Linked DNA regions of Lytechinus pictus. The protein of the gene in region 2 binds, or shares a complex with, the protein of the main gene of each other region. Links are inferred from orthologs where the notes say so. Each region holds a gene or a part of one and is shown on either strand. Other genes may lie near its edges.

What was found.
Region 1: U4/U6 small nuclear ribonucleoprotein Prp31-like (region 2) and small nuclear ribonucleoprotein Sm D2 share a complex: the UniProt entries of both Homo sapiens proteins name them as parts of the U4/U6-U5 tri-snRNP complex. The link is inferred for Lytechinus pictus from reciprocal best matches to the Homo sapiens genes PRPF31 and SNRPD2.

What each region holds. Positions count from the first base shown.
Region 1 is NC_087251.1:24,556,947-24,564,794, reverse strand, and holds the start of small nuclear ribonucleoprotein Sm D2, read left to right. Parts: upstream 1-4,733; 5' UTR 4,734-4,892; intron 4,893-7,848. UniProt on the Homo sapiens protein: Plays a role in pre-mRNA splicing as a core component of the spliceosomal U1, U2, U4 and U5 small nuclear ribonucleoproteins (snRNPs), the building blocks of the spliceosome.
Region 2 is NC_087254.1:21,096,012-21,104,466, forward strand, and holds the start of U4/U6 small nuclear ribonucleoprotein Prp31-like, read left to right. Parts: upstream 1-5,199; 5' UTR 5,200-5,273; intron 5,274-5,610; exon of another isoform or gene 5,611-5,672; intron 5,673-8,455. UniProt on the Homo sapiens protein: Involved in pre-mRNA splicing as component of the spliceosome. Required for the assembly of the U4/U5/U6 tri-snRNP complex, one of the building blocks of the spliceosome.

The sequences.
Region 1 (7,848 bases), on a different chromosome or scaffold from region 2:
TTACAAAAGGTGAAAACACTATAGCGGGGGTGATTATAGGAACAGGCCACTGAACGTACCTCTCATAATAAATTCATGGACCTATATATCTAGAAAGTCAAAAAGGGGCCTAAGCTTTCGATCCTAGCAGAATCTTCGTCGGAGGCAAAATGACAAACATATAAAGTGGAACAACCATAATATAGACCACAAACAAGCTACAGCAACGCTAGAAACAAGGAGACAAAAGGGGCATTAGTGAGTATAGAGAAGACCAATCAGGTTAGTGAAGGGGATGAAAGAAAGGGAGGAGTAGGCAGACACAAAGGGAAGTTAGACCCCTGTTACATCTGAGAGATTCCCTACCTCGGGCCGGCCCGGGGCCTACCTCGGGTCGGAAAGAAATCAGATGTAAACATCCCAAACCTACCTCGGGCCACCTTTTAGCGAACCTACCCGAGACCACATCAAGAGGTAGTCTCGGGTAGGTATCGGGCCGGCCCCGGTCCACCGATTCGTAGATGTAAACGCACACAAGCTTTCAAACCTATCTCGGTCCGTTCGCCAGCTGTCAAATTACGTCATAGCGCGCGCTATCCCCTCCCCAGCCCCGTCGTTCTTCGAATGTTTTGCGGCTTTTGACATGTGAATTGTGATTGATAAAGTCTTTGATTTTAGTGGAAAGAAGGAAGCACTTTAAACGTATTCTTTTCAAATCGATCATATCTTCAACGACTGCTGGGATCATCAGCATGCTTCCAGAATAACGAAATGTAAACAACTTCAATTAGCGCGCGCAAATTATTCAGAGCCTAGATCGAGAGTGCCCTTTGGTGTCAGCAATCGGATACCGCTCGAAACCGTACCGATAGGGGAGGGAATGAACGCTGTGATGTAAACAGACCACATTTCGGACTCGGTCCGTTCGCGAAGCTAATCCACCAATAATCCAGTCAAGGTTGCAAGTGGACTCGGTCGGGTCTCGGGTAGGAAACTTTCAGATGTAACAGGGGCCATATGTGTAAGTAAGGCCAGTAAAAGACCTCAAGCCAAGAGGGATTAAAATAATGAGGCAGGCAACATCAAACAGGATCTGGAACAAAACAGAGATAATGGGATGAAAAACAAGAGAAATAGTGAGAGGTGGGTCAAACAGGTTACAAAGAAAGGCTTAATAAACTGGTGCATAAGAGTGGGGGGGGGGGAAGAAAAAGAATGGGGAACAACTGATAATGTGCAAAAGACATATAAGTATATATGATAAAGCATTAAACAAACTAAGAGAAGAAGGTAAGTGTAAATATGTATCTATAAGTGATATGTATATAAATATATCCAAAAAAGAAATGTATATGAAAAAATATATAAATACACATATGGTGTAACTGATATTGTAATCCGCTAGGTGTGACGGGAAAAAAACATAAGACTATAAGTCTATATAGTAGGGGAAAAAAAAAAAAAAAAACACCCTGTATATGTGAAAAAGAGGAAGCAAATTGCCTAAAAAAAGTAAAAGCAAATATAGAAGAGAGGGGGTGTATTATGAAGAAACCATAGTATACATGTAAATAAGCAAATGTGGTAAATCTAAAAGAGGTGAGTGGAGAAAAAACAAATATATATATATATATATATATATATATAATAATTATTATATCGCCTGAATAAGGAAGGAAAAATTGGAGCTAAGCTTGTATGAGATATGGGAGGAAAGTAGAGTAAGAAACTATAATGTAACTATTCAAAAGAGCTGAGGGGAAAAACTATATGTATATAAAAATTGAAAGTGGATAGGAAAGAAAAATCAGTCGTTCCCCTCTTGGATGTTCAGGCCATGAGGTTGGGTGGTGCGAAGTCGTCTCATCCAGAGCTTCTCCCTGCTAGTACGGACTGAGTCAGGACGGGTACCTAAAGATTCGATGCCCTGTAGCATCATGTCAGTGATGGAGTGGTTGGGGAGGTTAAAATGGCGGCCAACTGGAGTGTCCAGCTTTGCTGTGTTGACGGTGGATCTGTGCCCGTAGAATCGTTTCTTGAGTGTGGTCTTGGTTTCCCCTATGTATTGTACCCTACAAACTCTGCAAGTGATGAGATATACAACATTAGTGGTAGTGCATGTGATGTTGCCCTTGATTTGGTGAGACAGGCTGGTAGAGTTGCTGGTGAAAGTATCGCCCTCGTGAAGGTGTATTTCACATATGATGCACCTGTTGCTGGTGCATTTGAAGGTGCCATGTTGTATGGGAGAAGAATGGTTAGTGAGGGAGGGCACTTCAGCACGAACAATGAGGTCCCTGAGATTCGGTGGGCGTCGGTATGCTAGAAGGGGAGTATCGGGAACGGCCTGTTGGAGACGATCAGAAGTGTGTAAAATCAAGGAGCTTCCAACTCCTTGGTAAAATGTGGTGGTTATCAAACAGGATTTTGCGGAGAGGGGGTAGATTGGGATGGAAGGTGGTCACAAGCGGTATTCTGTCGGTGGTCTCCTTGTCACTTTTTGGTTTGAGAACTTCAGATCTGGGGAGAGAACGAACTTTGTTAATTGCCAGTTGGACTAGCTGCCCTGGCCCGTGGCCCCTGGCACAGAGATGTTTCTGCAAATTCCTGGCATGGAAGGAAAAATCAGGGTCCTCGGAGCAGATACGGCGAAGTCTGAGGGCTTGACTGTAAGCGATGCCGGTTTTGCAGTGACGGGGGTGGCAGCTGGATGAGTGGAGGTACTGGTGGGTATCTGTGGGTTTAGAGTATAGGGTAGTGGTGATACCATTATACTTTTTCTGGACTGTAACATCAAGGAAGTGGGTTTCCTGTTGGGAGAAATCAGAAGTGAATTTGATGGTCCTGTGGAAGGAATTGATGTGGTCAATGAATGTATGGAGGCTGTCTTCACTCTGGTCCAGATGAAGAAAATGTCGTCTATGTAACGCCACCAAATCCATGGGCGACAGGGGGCTGAATCTAACATCTGCTGTTCCAGCTTCGTCATGAAGAGACAGGCGAATGAAGGAGCCATCCGGATGCCCATTGCTGTACCGAATATCTGTAGGTATAGTGCTTGCCCATGAATGTGAAGCTGTTTTTTGTTAGTACATGAGACATCAGAGATTTGATATCGGATATGGGGGGACTGGAATGGCCACTGGCGGCCAAGGCTAGCTTCACATGATGCTTGGATACCTTCGTCGTGGGGAATTAATGCTGGTGTACAGTGAAGAAACATCGAAAGTGCCGATGATCGCAGTCTCGGGTCCTTGATGTCATTTAGTTTCCTGAGAAAGTCTGGAGTGTCGTGGATGTAAGAGGGTGCACGTGAGACAATTAAGGGGCTTAATGTGGTAATCAACAAAAAGGGAGATGTTCTCTGTTGAGGAACCATTTCCTGAGAGGATGGGTCGACCGGGGTTGGCAGGTTTGTGGATCTTCGGGAGGAGATAGAAGCGGGCAGGTTTAGCATTAGTAGGGGAGAGAAATTTGTGGGCCTTCTCAGAGAGATGCTCGTGTTCTTTCATGTCATTCAGTGTCGATTTGATCTGTAGGGAGAAATTACAAGTAGGGTCAGAATCGAGGAGTGCATAGTGAGATCGATTATTGAGATGTTTCATGGCTTCATCGATGTACTGCTGGCGGTCCATAACAACGACGGCTGATCCTTTGTCTGCAGGCTTGATGATGATGTCGGACCTGTTTTTGAGTGATGAGAGAGCCTGATGAGAGAACCTATATATCTACGGAGGATTATCTATTGTTACTGGGGGTGCTGTGACAATGCTCAGCACCCCCAGTGACAATAGAATAATCCTCCGTGGATAGGTCCATGAATGAATTAAAGGACAAGTCCACCCCAACCATTAGTTGATTTGAATAAATAGAGAAAAATCCAACCAGCATAACACTGAAAAGTTCATCAAAATCGGATGTAAAATAAGAAAGTTATGACAGTTTTAAGTTTTGCTTAATTTCACAAAACAGTTATATGTACATCCTGGTCGGTATGCAAATGAGGAGACTGATGACGTCATCCACTCACTATTTCTTTTGTATTTCATTATATGAAATATGAAATATTCTAATTTTCTCCTCATTGTCAAGTTAAACAAAGATTAATTCCTCCCTGAACACGTGGAATTAGCATTGTTTTAATACTATATGGTTCAGTCAAGTTGGTCCTTAATGTCAAACCTGTAAAAAATGAAATATTGTATAATTCAAACAATAAAAAACAAAAGAAAAAGTGAGTGATGGACCTCATCGACTGTCTCATTTGCATGTCACTGAGATGTGCATATAATTGTTTTGTGAAAAATAAGCGAAACTTTAAAATGTCATAACTTTCTTATTTGACATCCGATTCTGATGAAATTTTTAGCGTTTTGCTCGTTGGATTTTTCTCTATTTATTCAAATCATCATTTTTTTGGGATGGACTTGACCTTTAACTATTCTGTGAAAAAAATAAAAATAATAAAAATAATTACTATCTGATATCCGATTTGTATCAATTCGATCACGATTGTTTGGCTTTATCTACGATGTGGGAATTATAGATCTACATGTATTTTTGTATATTGAATCATACCAATCTCCAAAATAGAAATTTCAACATAGTCTACAAGCACAGACTAAAATTTGACAACTTATACCATGACTAGATTGAAGACTCCAATTGTTTTGTCTGTGTCAAATCAGATTTGGTAGAATAGGCCACCGCTAATTGAGTGAATCTAGTCTCACTACTTCAGACTCTGCATATGCGCTGTGTGAAAACCGAAGGTCTGTGCCTGCAGACTAATCTCGACGCGGCACATAATATTTTGCTGCTTCCTTCAATTCTGCATGCACTCAGACACTTTGCGGAGACACACTTTGAGCAGCAGTGCAGTCAGCGCAGCGCTCTGCCGTGCTGCATGCTAGGCAGTCACTGAACTAAAAATACGTGGAAGTCGTGTTCACCCAAGCAAAACAGCGCCGGCGAAATCGATAAGTCACGTGACCGCCGCCATTTTGCTAGGTCAATTGTTCGAGAGCGCGCCGTAGAAGGCAATTGAAAATATGTGCAAGATGCAATATGTTTTCTCTATAAATATAAAATTAATAGTGTGGCAAAGTGTATTTTAATGTCATTAAGCCAATCATGTACAAACATATTTCTATATGCACAATGTACTGGGACCTGGTAATTCATGTAGTTAAAAAAAAGGGTCTAATTCAGGGTGACCAGATTTCACAAAATGAAATACGGGACAATCGCCTCATCAAAGAAGGCTACACGATGTTATACTTGTGAAAAAAATAAAAAGAATTGGAAGGGAGGGATAACGAAAGAATGAAGGAGAGAAAAAAAAGACGAAAGAAAAGAAATGAGAAAGAAGAAAGAACAAATGAAGGGGAAAATAAAAGCGGAAAGTTAGAATAATCAAAAGGACGATGAAAGAAAGAATAAAAGAGAAAAAAAAAGGTTTCCGTCATTCTTTGAATTCACCCAATATAGAAAGAAATAAAAAGAAAGAAAGGGAAGATGTGTGAAAGACAAAATAAGAAAAAGGAGGAGGAAACAAAGAATAAAGGAAAGAAAAATGTTTTTTTTTTCTTTGAAAGAAGAAAACGGGAAGGGAAAATGAAGGAAGGGGGAGGGAAAGAAAGAAAGAATAAGGGGAAAGAAGAAGAAGGAAAAAATAGAGAATGAAAGAAAGAATGAAAGAGAGGGAGGAAAGATTGAAGGGAGGAGAAAATAAAAAAAATAATGGAAGGAGAGAAAAAACGAAAAGAAAAAGGTGAGGAAGGGAGTAAATAAAAGTATAAGGAAAGAAAGAATGACGGAAATAAAAATGGCAGATACGGAGGAAGAAGGAAAGAAAGAAAATTAAAACACAGAAAGGATCAGGAAAGAAAGGTATGAAATATTAAAAGATGTAGATGGAACAAAAAAAAAACAAGGATAGAAGGATGAAGGATAAAAAGGAAAGAGGAAAAAGTTCAAACTTCAAGCAAACAAAAGCAATCCAGTCATCTAACAGAAATGATAATGATATTTGGTGTTTTTTTTTAATTTTGGAAAACTAAGTGGTTTAGAAATGAATAAAATTTCAAAGTGAAACATTGTCAACTTACAAATGAGAGGAAACAGCGCCGGCATCCTATATACACAACAAGACTCAAAAAGCTAAAACAACTGCATGTAGATCCCGTTATGAAAACTAAAAAAAACTTGTTCCTCCGATCCTATTTAATCAGTAATCTGAGAATTACGATCATAAAAATTTTCCGCCGATTTTGTGATTATTTTGGTGGAAAAACTGTTTATCATGTGAGATTGTTTGCATCATTATGCTCCGATCCTACATGCATAGAGCCTGTTTCACACACATGCAGGCAATAATACTAACCTCGTACTAGTGTGAGTGACAGGCAGGAAGCCAGCTCGTTTGCAATGTATTTGGTTAGGATAAAAATCACCCACAGAACTTGCAAAAGTTTTAGTTATCGATTTATTGTTGTCTCTGCTTCGTCATTCTGTTTGGTTATGTGATGAAAATTCGTCACTTTTTAATTTATCAACTATATTTTGTTCAATATTCTAAAAATACGGGACAGATATGTCCCGGGAAGGGTTTGTCGGGACGCCGGGACAAATTAAGGAGCAAAATACGGGACGATCCCGGGAAATACGGGACGTCTGGTCATTTGACAAGAGGTAGTGGTCTTTTTGTACAATTTTTGACTTGTGGAATATTTCATACTCACCAGGATATGCATATAACTGGTATGTGAAAATAAGCGAAATTTAGTGCAACAACTTTTTAAATGGAATTACCATTGCTATGACTTTCTGATTTGTGCTCTAATAGTAAACTTGTTAGAGTTGACTTGGTTTTGTTTATCCATCACCCATTCCTTTATGTAAAAGTGTATTGATGTAAGCACATGTCGTGCAACATCCATGCTCTTCCAAATTAAATTTCATAAGAATTCAAATTCTATTGTGCCCATTTTTACATACACGGTACTTTATAGTAGATATTTCCTTGCTGAGCACACGAAGGTCCAACTTTGAAGGCTCATTAAAAGTAACAACCTTCTTGCCCTTAAACTTCTATTCAATTTTTCACCCTGAATGTGTGATTGAAGAGTATGAGAGGGAGGGAAGGGAATATTTACTCAAAATTCATATAGAGAAAGTTGAAGGAAAAATTGTAAAGATGGAGAGAGAGAAAAAGAAACAGACGATCAACGAGAAGAGATGGAAAGAAGAGGAAGATCAAAGAGAAGGAGAGAGAGAGAGGGAGAGAGAGGGGAAATCGAGGAATGAGAAAGAGGTGAGGAGAGAAAGGCGAGACGAGAGGGAGATAAAAGAGGGCTCGATATAAGGGAGATGGGGAAATAAAAGAAAGATATAATTATGGGGAAAGAGAGAGAGGGAATGTAAGAGAGAGAGATGAGAAAGACGAGGAGATGAGAGAGAAAGAAGCCAAAGAGAAAGGAAAATAATAAAGAGGGAGATCGAGATGATATAAAGGAGAGAAATAAGAGAGAGAGGGGCATGAAAGTAGAAATGGAAGAAATAGAAGGGGATGGAGAGGATAAGAGAGATGGACAGAAGAGGAAAATCAGAGAAAATGAGATGAGATGAATAGTTGAATGAGAAGGGAGGTTTAAAAAAAAAGCTAGAGAAAGGGACATGATCTCTAATCGTTAAAAGATTTTTTTTTATGCAACCAGCTAGGCCTACTCAGAAAGCATATTTGTTGTGGGGCCTTTCCTTGTCACAGCGTGCGCGTGAAAAAGGTCGAGTTTTTTATGATTTCATGACTGTATATGTTTACTCCCCTTTAATACAAAAATGTGACTAAATCAACATTTTCAGTTATGA
Region 2 (8,455 bases):
TCCAACAAGCCAAGCTTCTCAGCTGGTCTCTCTTTTCATTTCACCCCTTTCTTTTTTTAATATACACAAGAATACTCATACTTTTAAGAATGTTACGTTTTATGAAATGATGAAATAAGTATCGTATTTTGTTCGTATAATTTACATTACCCAATTTTAGCAAATGTAAGGTCGTTACTTTTGTTCATTTTTGTAATTGTATTTATGTATTTGTATTTATGTATTTTTGACTTGTATGTGAAAAATGGAAAGAAAAGAAATGAAATAAATCAATAAATCTAAATCTAAAAAATCTAAATCTAGTTAATAATATATTTACTGATGCATCCTAGTTGTAATTACAAAAGTGATTGAAATGTCCAGTTTTCAGGCCATCATATCATCAGATTTTGCGCTCTCATTAGGCATTAATGAATAATATATTAATTCAATAATTGAATTGTCCCTTTTGTTTCATCTCGAGCTTAGCAAGAGGAATAGGAAGACAGTCTTCATTTTCATATGATGACATGTCCTATAAGGACATTTTCATTATCCAGTTTCAGATCACAATATCAAAAGTTTTTTGCTCGCGCCTTGTGCTCTCATTATTAATGTATAAAAATTCCCTATTACTCATTCTTTTCATGATTTACAAAACATGAAACATGAATGTCCCGTTTTGAGGTCTAAATCTTGGTTTTTTCCAGCTCGCGCTTCGCGCTCGCATCAATTGTTTAGTTATATTGCTATCTTGTTCACGATTGTAAAAATTTATTAAAATTTTCCATTCCTTATGTAGAAATGTCAATTTTTTTCAGCTCGCGCTCCGCGCTCTCATGATTTGATTGTTGAAATATGTAACGTCTTCATGGCTAAGTGCAGTCCTATAACAGGTACCTTTTCGATCAGTTCAAAACGCATATGAAAATTTTCTGCTCGCGCTTTGCGCTCGCATTATTAATGTAAGGAAGATCCCTAATTACTCATCCTTTTCATGATTTACAAAACATGTCTCGTTCAGTAGGTCTAAATCTCGAAATTTTCCGCTCGCGCTTCGCGCTCGCATTAATTGTTTAGTTATATACCTTTTCTGTTTAAGTTAAAAAAAAGTGCTTAGAATTTCCATTCTTCGGGTAAAAATGTCGAAAAATTTTAGCTCGCGCTTCGCGCTCGCAATATTTGATTTTTTTGAAATATGTAACGTCTTCATGGCTAACTGCATGCAATCTTTAACAGGTACCTTTTCCATCAGTTCATTTCTGCTCGCGCTTCGCGTTCGTGGTAATTATTTAGCTGCATACACATCTTTTTCAGGATAACAAACATTGCCCAGAATGTTCAAATTTTAGGAAAAAATACATAAGATTTCCAAAAAATTTAGCTCTCGCTTCGCACTCGCATTATATAAATAAGGATTATGATATATTTATGTTGATTAATAAGAATAGAGCCAAAAAGTGACTATTAGGATTACACCTTCAAAGAAACCAAAAATCATCTTCGAGCGGCCGATCGGGGAAAATATGGCTGAAAAAAATTCCGGGCCCCCCCCTATTGGCAAAGGCTGGATCCGCCCCTGCATGGTCAGTATATATGCAAATGAGGTGACTGATGATGACGTCACCCACTGACTATTTCTTGTGTATTTTATTATGTAAAATATTAAATAGTTCTAATTTTCTCCTCATTATCATGTGAAACAATGTTTTGTTCCTCCCTGAACATGTAAAATTACCAATATTCACTTATGGTTCAATCAAGTTGGTCCCTATATTGTCCACATCGGTAAAAATTGAAATATTGTACAATTCAAACATAGTGCGAGAGACATCAATAATCGACTAATTTGCATATCACTGAGTTGTGCATATAAAGTTTATATAGTGAAAAATAAGCAAAACTTTAAAATGCCATAGCTTTCTTATTTTACATCCGATTTTAATGAAATTTGTATTGTTGTGCTTGTTTGATTTTTTTTCTATTTATTCAAATCATCAGTTTTTCTAGGTTGGACCCCTCGGATTAGACCTTTAATACACGAAACGGGCCTTTCTTTGAGATGAAAGGGGTACCGAACACGTTTGTCAGCGGGACCGTTTTCTTGGGTAAAAGGGTTTTCAATGAGGACACAGTGCCGCTCCCCCCCCCCCCCCCCCCGGTGTTATCGAAGTCCACATAGTAAAAAAAAATTATACAACGCTGTTTACTATATGAACCTTACAGTAATTGTTTAAACAGTTTAAACAAGTGTTTAAATCTTAAAGGGATGGTCCGGGCTGAAAGTATTTATAGCTTAATAATTAGAATAAAATTCACTGAGCAAAATGCCGAAAATTTCATCAAAATCGGATAACAAATAACAAAGTAAGTTAATTTTAAAGTTTAGCAATATTTTGTGAAAACAGTGGTCATGAATATTCATTAGTGGGCTGATGATGTCACATCCCCACTTGTTCTTTTGTATTTTATTATATGAAAATAGGTTTATTCAAATTTTCTCTCAAAGAACTAGAAAAATTGGATTGACAACTGATTTAGTGCATTAGATATTTATTGATGCAACTTATTTCATTATAAGGGAGACATATTATTCACACAAGTATGAAATAATGAAAAATATGATTTTATGTAATAACATAAGAAAACGGAAAGTGGAGATGTGACATCATCAGCACACCTAATGAATATTCATAACGACTGTTTTCACAAAATATTGCTAAACTTTAAACTTCAATAACTGTATCATTTGTTATCCGATTTTGATGAAATTTTCGGCATTTTGCTCAGTGAATTCTACTCTATGTCTTAAGATATAAATATTTTCAGCCCGGACCATCCCTTTAAGCGACAAAGTTTAATTTTCAATATCTAAACATGATTGTTTAAACGGTTAAATAAATACTGTAAGGTTCATAATAGTAAACAGCGTTGTATAAAATCTTAAACAGCGTTTTTACTGTGCATGCCCCTTCTCAAATTAGGATTAGGATCTTGAGCCACTTCCGTTTTGGTTTTAATCCTGTAGGCAGTTATCACATAAACTATATTTATACTTTTGTTTGCGGAGATAATGCAGCGTTAAAATTATAATTGATAAATGGGACGCATTGTAATATTTTAATAACACGGACATAGGCAGGGGCGGAAATCTCTCCCAAAAGGTAGGGGGGACACAGGGGCGGATCCAGCCTTCGCCAATAGGAGGGGGGGGGGGCGGAAATTTGTTTCAGCGAGTATTTTCCCCGATCGGCAGCTCGAAGATGATTTGTGTTTTGTTTCTTTGAAGGGGTATAGTCCCCATTAGTCACTTCTTAGCTTTATTCTTATAAATTCATGTATAATATCATAATCCTTATTTATATGATGGGAGCGCGAAGCACGAGCTAATTTGTTGGAAATTTTATGTATTTTTTCCTAAAATTTGAACATTCTGGGCAATGTTTGTTATCCTGAAAAAATTACTACGAACGCAAAGCGCGAGCAGAAATGAACTGATGGAAAAGATACCTGTTAAAGACTGCGTGCAGTTAGCATTTAACAATCAAATAATGCGAGCGCGAGCTGATTTTTTTTTTACATTTTCACCTAAAGAATGAAAATTGTAAGCGCTTTTTGTAACTCAAGCAGAATAGGTATATAAGTAGACAATTGATGCGAGCGCGAAGCGCGAGCGGAAAGTTTCGAAATTTAGTCCTATAATATTTACTGAACGAGACGCTCTATTCATGTTTTGTAAATCATGAAAAGGATGAGTATTAATAATGCGAGCGCAAAGCGCCAGCAGAAAATTTTTATATACGTTTTGAAATGGTACCTGTTGAAAAGGTATCTGTTAAAGGTCAAGTCCACCCCAAAAAAAAGTTTATTTAAATAAATAGAGAAAAATCACACATGAATAACACTGAAAACTTCATCAAAATCGGATGTAAAATAAGAAAGTTATAAAGACATTTTAAAGTTTCGCTTATTTTTCACAAAACAGTTCTATGCTCAACTCAATGATATGCAAATGAGAGAGTCAGTGATGTCACTCTCACTCACTATTTCTTTTGTTTTTTATATATTGTTTGAATTAAACAATATTTCAATTTTTACGAATTTGACAATTAGGACCCCCTTGCTTGAACCACAAAATGTTAAAATAATGGAATTCCACGTGTTTAGGGAGGAATGAAGCACATGACAATGACAATAAAATCAAAATATTTCATATTTCATATAACAAAAAAAAAAGAAATAGTGAGTGGGTGATGTCATCGGTCCCTTCATTTGCATACCGAACAGGATGTGCATATAACTGTTTTTAGAATTTAAGCGAAACTTTAAAAAATAATATAACTTTCTTATTTTTCATCCGATTTTGATGAAATTTTCAGTGTTATGCTTGTTTGATTTTTCACTTTCTATTCAAATCAGCTTTTTGTTGGGGTGGACTTGTCTTTTAAGGACTGCTTGCACTTAGCCATGAAGGCGTTACATATTTCAACAATAAAAAAATTGAAAATTTTAATCAATTTTTGTAATCGTGAACAGGGTAGCTATATAATTCAACAATTGATGCGAGCGCGAAGCGCGAGCAGAAAAAAAAAGAGATTTAGACCTAAAAATTGGCCACTCTGTTCATGTTTTGTAAACAGCCATAGGCTGATCGAGGGCTTTTTACCGTGTTTAAATAAAATAAATCAATTGAGTAGGGGGGACACGCCCCCCCCTGTCCCCCCTGGGATTTCCGCCCATGGACATAGGCCTAATTCTTTTTATAGCCCTACCATACACTGCAATGCCAAGCAAATCTGAAGTTGAACTTTACAAAATATTGGTGAAGGTTTAAGGAAAATCCATCAAAGATTTTAATATTTTTTTTATTTGTCACGTCATATGCGAGCAGCTTCCCATATATCGTGTATTTTAAAAATTCAAGGAAATGTCATTTTCTCAAATAATTTGAAAATAATTTACCATAAACGGCCAATTTCACATCCGCTCCTGAAAATTTTTTTTTAGTCATCATGCACGAACTTCCCACAAAAAAAAGAACTTTATACATTTTATATTACATGACATAAACTATGGGACATTTTTTACGTCACAAAACAAAAACTATAAATTATAATTATAACTTTCTTAATCTATGATGGCTTTTCCTCAAAACTTCATTAATATTTATTTGTTATTTTTTTCTGAATTTAACCATGGACCTATTCTTTTCGTAAGGAAAAAGATTTGTTACCGCGCCGGCCCTCAACGTTCTTTGTTTACACCAAGAAATCGCAGATACAGTGCTCTGGCAGGTAAAATAAATTAAAAATATGCTTGTATTAGTTGTAACTGAGTTTGAAGTCTCAATTCTTATTTTTTTATAATGAGTGGTGATATTCGTAGGTTAATTGTGCGGAAATCGCGTAGTTAAATTTAATGTAATTTTTATTGCGCTATCATATTGGTAACGTGTGCGATCAGCCGAGTGGCGAGTGTAAGTGCAGAGTGCAGTGCAGCCAGCTCCATCGGCATCGCATCGGAACTAACCCAGGGGCAGGGCCAGGGAGCTCCGGCTCGCGAAGCGGGTCGACGTCGGAGCCCAGGAGTCAAGACTCGACTTTTACCTAGTTTTCGTCTCATTATTTGCAGAAAATTGAGCAGATCAGATTCCCATGTTTCGATCGGCGACTCCGATTCAATTCGCATATATGGTAGGTATGTGACAAAAAAAATGAAAATCATCAAATATGAATAAATTTGGTATCACTTGAAAGCTCTTAAAAAGACCTTTAAAATGATACCAAGAACTTTAGTTTTCATAAAGAAATTATAAAGTTATTCCAGTTTAAGTCGCACATATTCATCCAAATTTGTGGTCATTGTCTTAATGTAAAGTCAATGGAGTACAGAATCGATTTTTGTGACCATTTTGTCATTTTTGTGACCATTTTGAACCCAAGTCTTCAACAGGCTCTAACTTCTTTGTTTTTGAGCCCTATGAAGTAATTTAGGTATCAATGGAAAGGTGAGAGAATGCTTAATTGATGTGTATCAATTCATCTAGTAATTTTTCTTATTATGTGTAAAATAATTTCTTCTAATTAATTCTAATTAATTATGCAAATAACAGAAAATCACAATTACTTGCCTCTTTTTTTTGCCAAATGAAGGTGATTATGATAGATAATTCATATAATTTAGTTGGCATCAAAACAGCATCATGTAGATAATTTCCTAATGAATTTGTCTAAAGTATTGTTTTTGTAATTTCTAATGTATTTCTTTGTTTTCTGATATAAATTACAAGCTCTTTTTCAACTTAGTATTGTAATTTTGTATATGTGTTTGTACGGGGGTCCTTTTTTACATATGAAAAAAAATTATTTTGTACTTTGTATGACCAAATAAAAATATGTGTGCTTTTTTCTGATGTATTTTATTGTTTCACCAATTCCTTATGTATTCTATTGTTTCAACAATTTGTTATAATATGTAGCTTTTGATTTGAGAGACAATGGACATGTGATTACATTTTTAGAAGGAATGAGCAGCTGAGTGTAAAATATGTATGTAGAATTGTATGCAATTTATTTCAAGTATCAAGAAGGACGAAAATGAAGTTTTAATATATTGTATCAGTTGTCAATTTCTTAGATTTGTATACATACATTGTATTACAAAAGCCCTGTTTGAGCTCTCTTTTTAAAGAAAAATAAATTCAAATTATTAGTCGAATCCAAAAGAAAAGGAAAAGAGTGGTCTATTTCTTTCAAAACAAAGCAAAAAACAACCATGAAAAATATATAACAAAGCTTTAAACAACAACAACAAAACAGACATCAAAGCTCCAAACAAGCACTAAAAACAAGAGAAACAAAAACTTGTACCAATCCCATCCCCATTTTCCAATTCAAAATACAACCCCCACCTGCACCCCTAAAAAAAGAAAAGTGAACAAAAAAATAAATAGTACAATTAATAATAAACATAAATACAGGACTCAGACCCATCTGGAAATGAAATATTCTTTCCTCTGAGTTTTCATGTATTTTCTTACAAGAGTGAAAAAAATTACAACATAAAATAAACAACATCTAGTTCGTGCATTTTAATAAAAAAAAATCAACATTTAAGATATTCTCCTTTCAAAAGCAAATCCAGTCTCCAAATAATGAAATATGAAAAAAAAATGAAAAAAATAAACAATACAATAATTTAAAAAAGAAACTTAAAAAAATATATTTAAAAAAAAGAAACTAAAAAATAAACATAATATTTGCATTTTAATTAAAAAGTCAACATTTATGATATTCTCCTTTCAAAAGCAAATCCAGTCTCAAAATAATGAAACATGATTGAAAAGTTTCAAAATATTTTTTTTTCTACAAAAGAAAAAAAAGAAACACTATAGATTAACATTAATATTCCACTTCCAAAAGAATCCAGTTTCCAAATGATAAAATATGATTCTATAACCTTAGGAGGAAAGAATGTTTTTGTGACAAAATGTATATATTTAAATCAATATCAGAATAACAATCTACGGTATAATGACAGACATTTTCAGAAAAAGGCACAATATTATCAAGTGAACAATTTAGATCCAGTTCAATCCAGCATGAACGACTCACTATCGACCACTCCCGTCACCAAGCCCTCCGCATCGGGTACCGGTAGCTCGACTGCCGAAAGACCGTCGGGAGCCCACCGCATCGGGCAGCTCGACTGCCGAGAGACCGGCTGTGACAAGGGTAGCTCGCGCCGCTTATATCTGGACTGCTCCACGAAAGAATCTTTTGATATTAGTTTTTTTTTCAATTTGAATACATTTTTAAAAGGTCAAGATACATAATTGGATTGCAGTTCTACTTACCATTAAAACATTTCGATCATTTGCGCATCCAAAAATTTGATGAACTTTCAAGCTCCGATATCCACACTTCACAGGCGAGTATCCACATTGAAACTTACATGTACAGAAAGAGCAAGTCTTCAACTGTCTGTATGGAGGCACGAGATTGCATCAACTATGTGCGCATGCGCATGAAACCCCATTTTCGATGAGCCGCCCAGACAGAGGCGATGCCACTTGCAGCAAAACCCGCGCGAAAACCGTGCAGCCAAAACCAGCGTTCGCGATGCGCCCGTATTCACACATACCTATATATGGCAAGTTCCCCCAAGTCTGCGCAGTCCCCCTTCCCTTGTCTGCGCACACGCGTATTTGCGCGATTCTAGTAAAAGAAGATACGCAACGAACACAGACTTTACACATGCAATACATAGACAGGTATTCATAAAAAAATCTGACTCAAAATGGTGGAAAAATAATGAAATTTGGGCATTTCATGTGACGGCCTCAAAATGCAGCCTTTCTCATCAAAATCCCCGAATCGTGTGCAAAGTGAATGAGTGCGCAGACATGGGGTACCATTTTTTTTTTCAATCTGAAAATGACTGCCCGAGGTTTTTTCTAGAAAATCCTATATTTTCT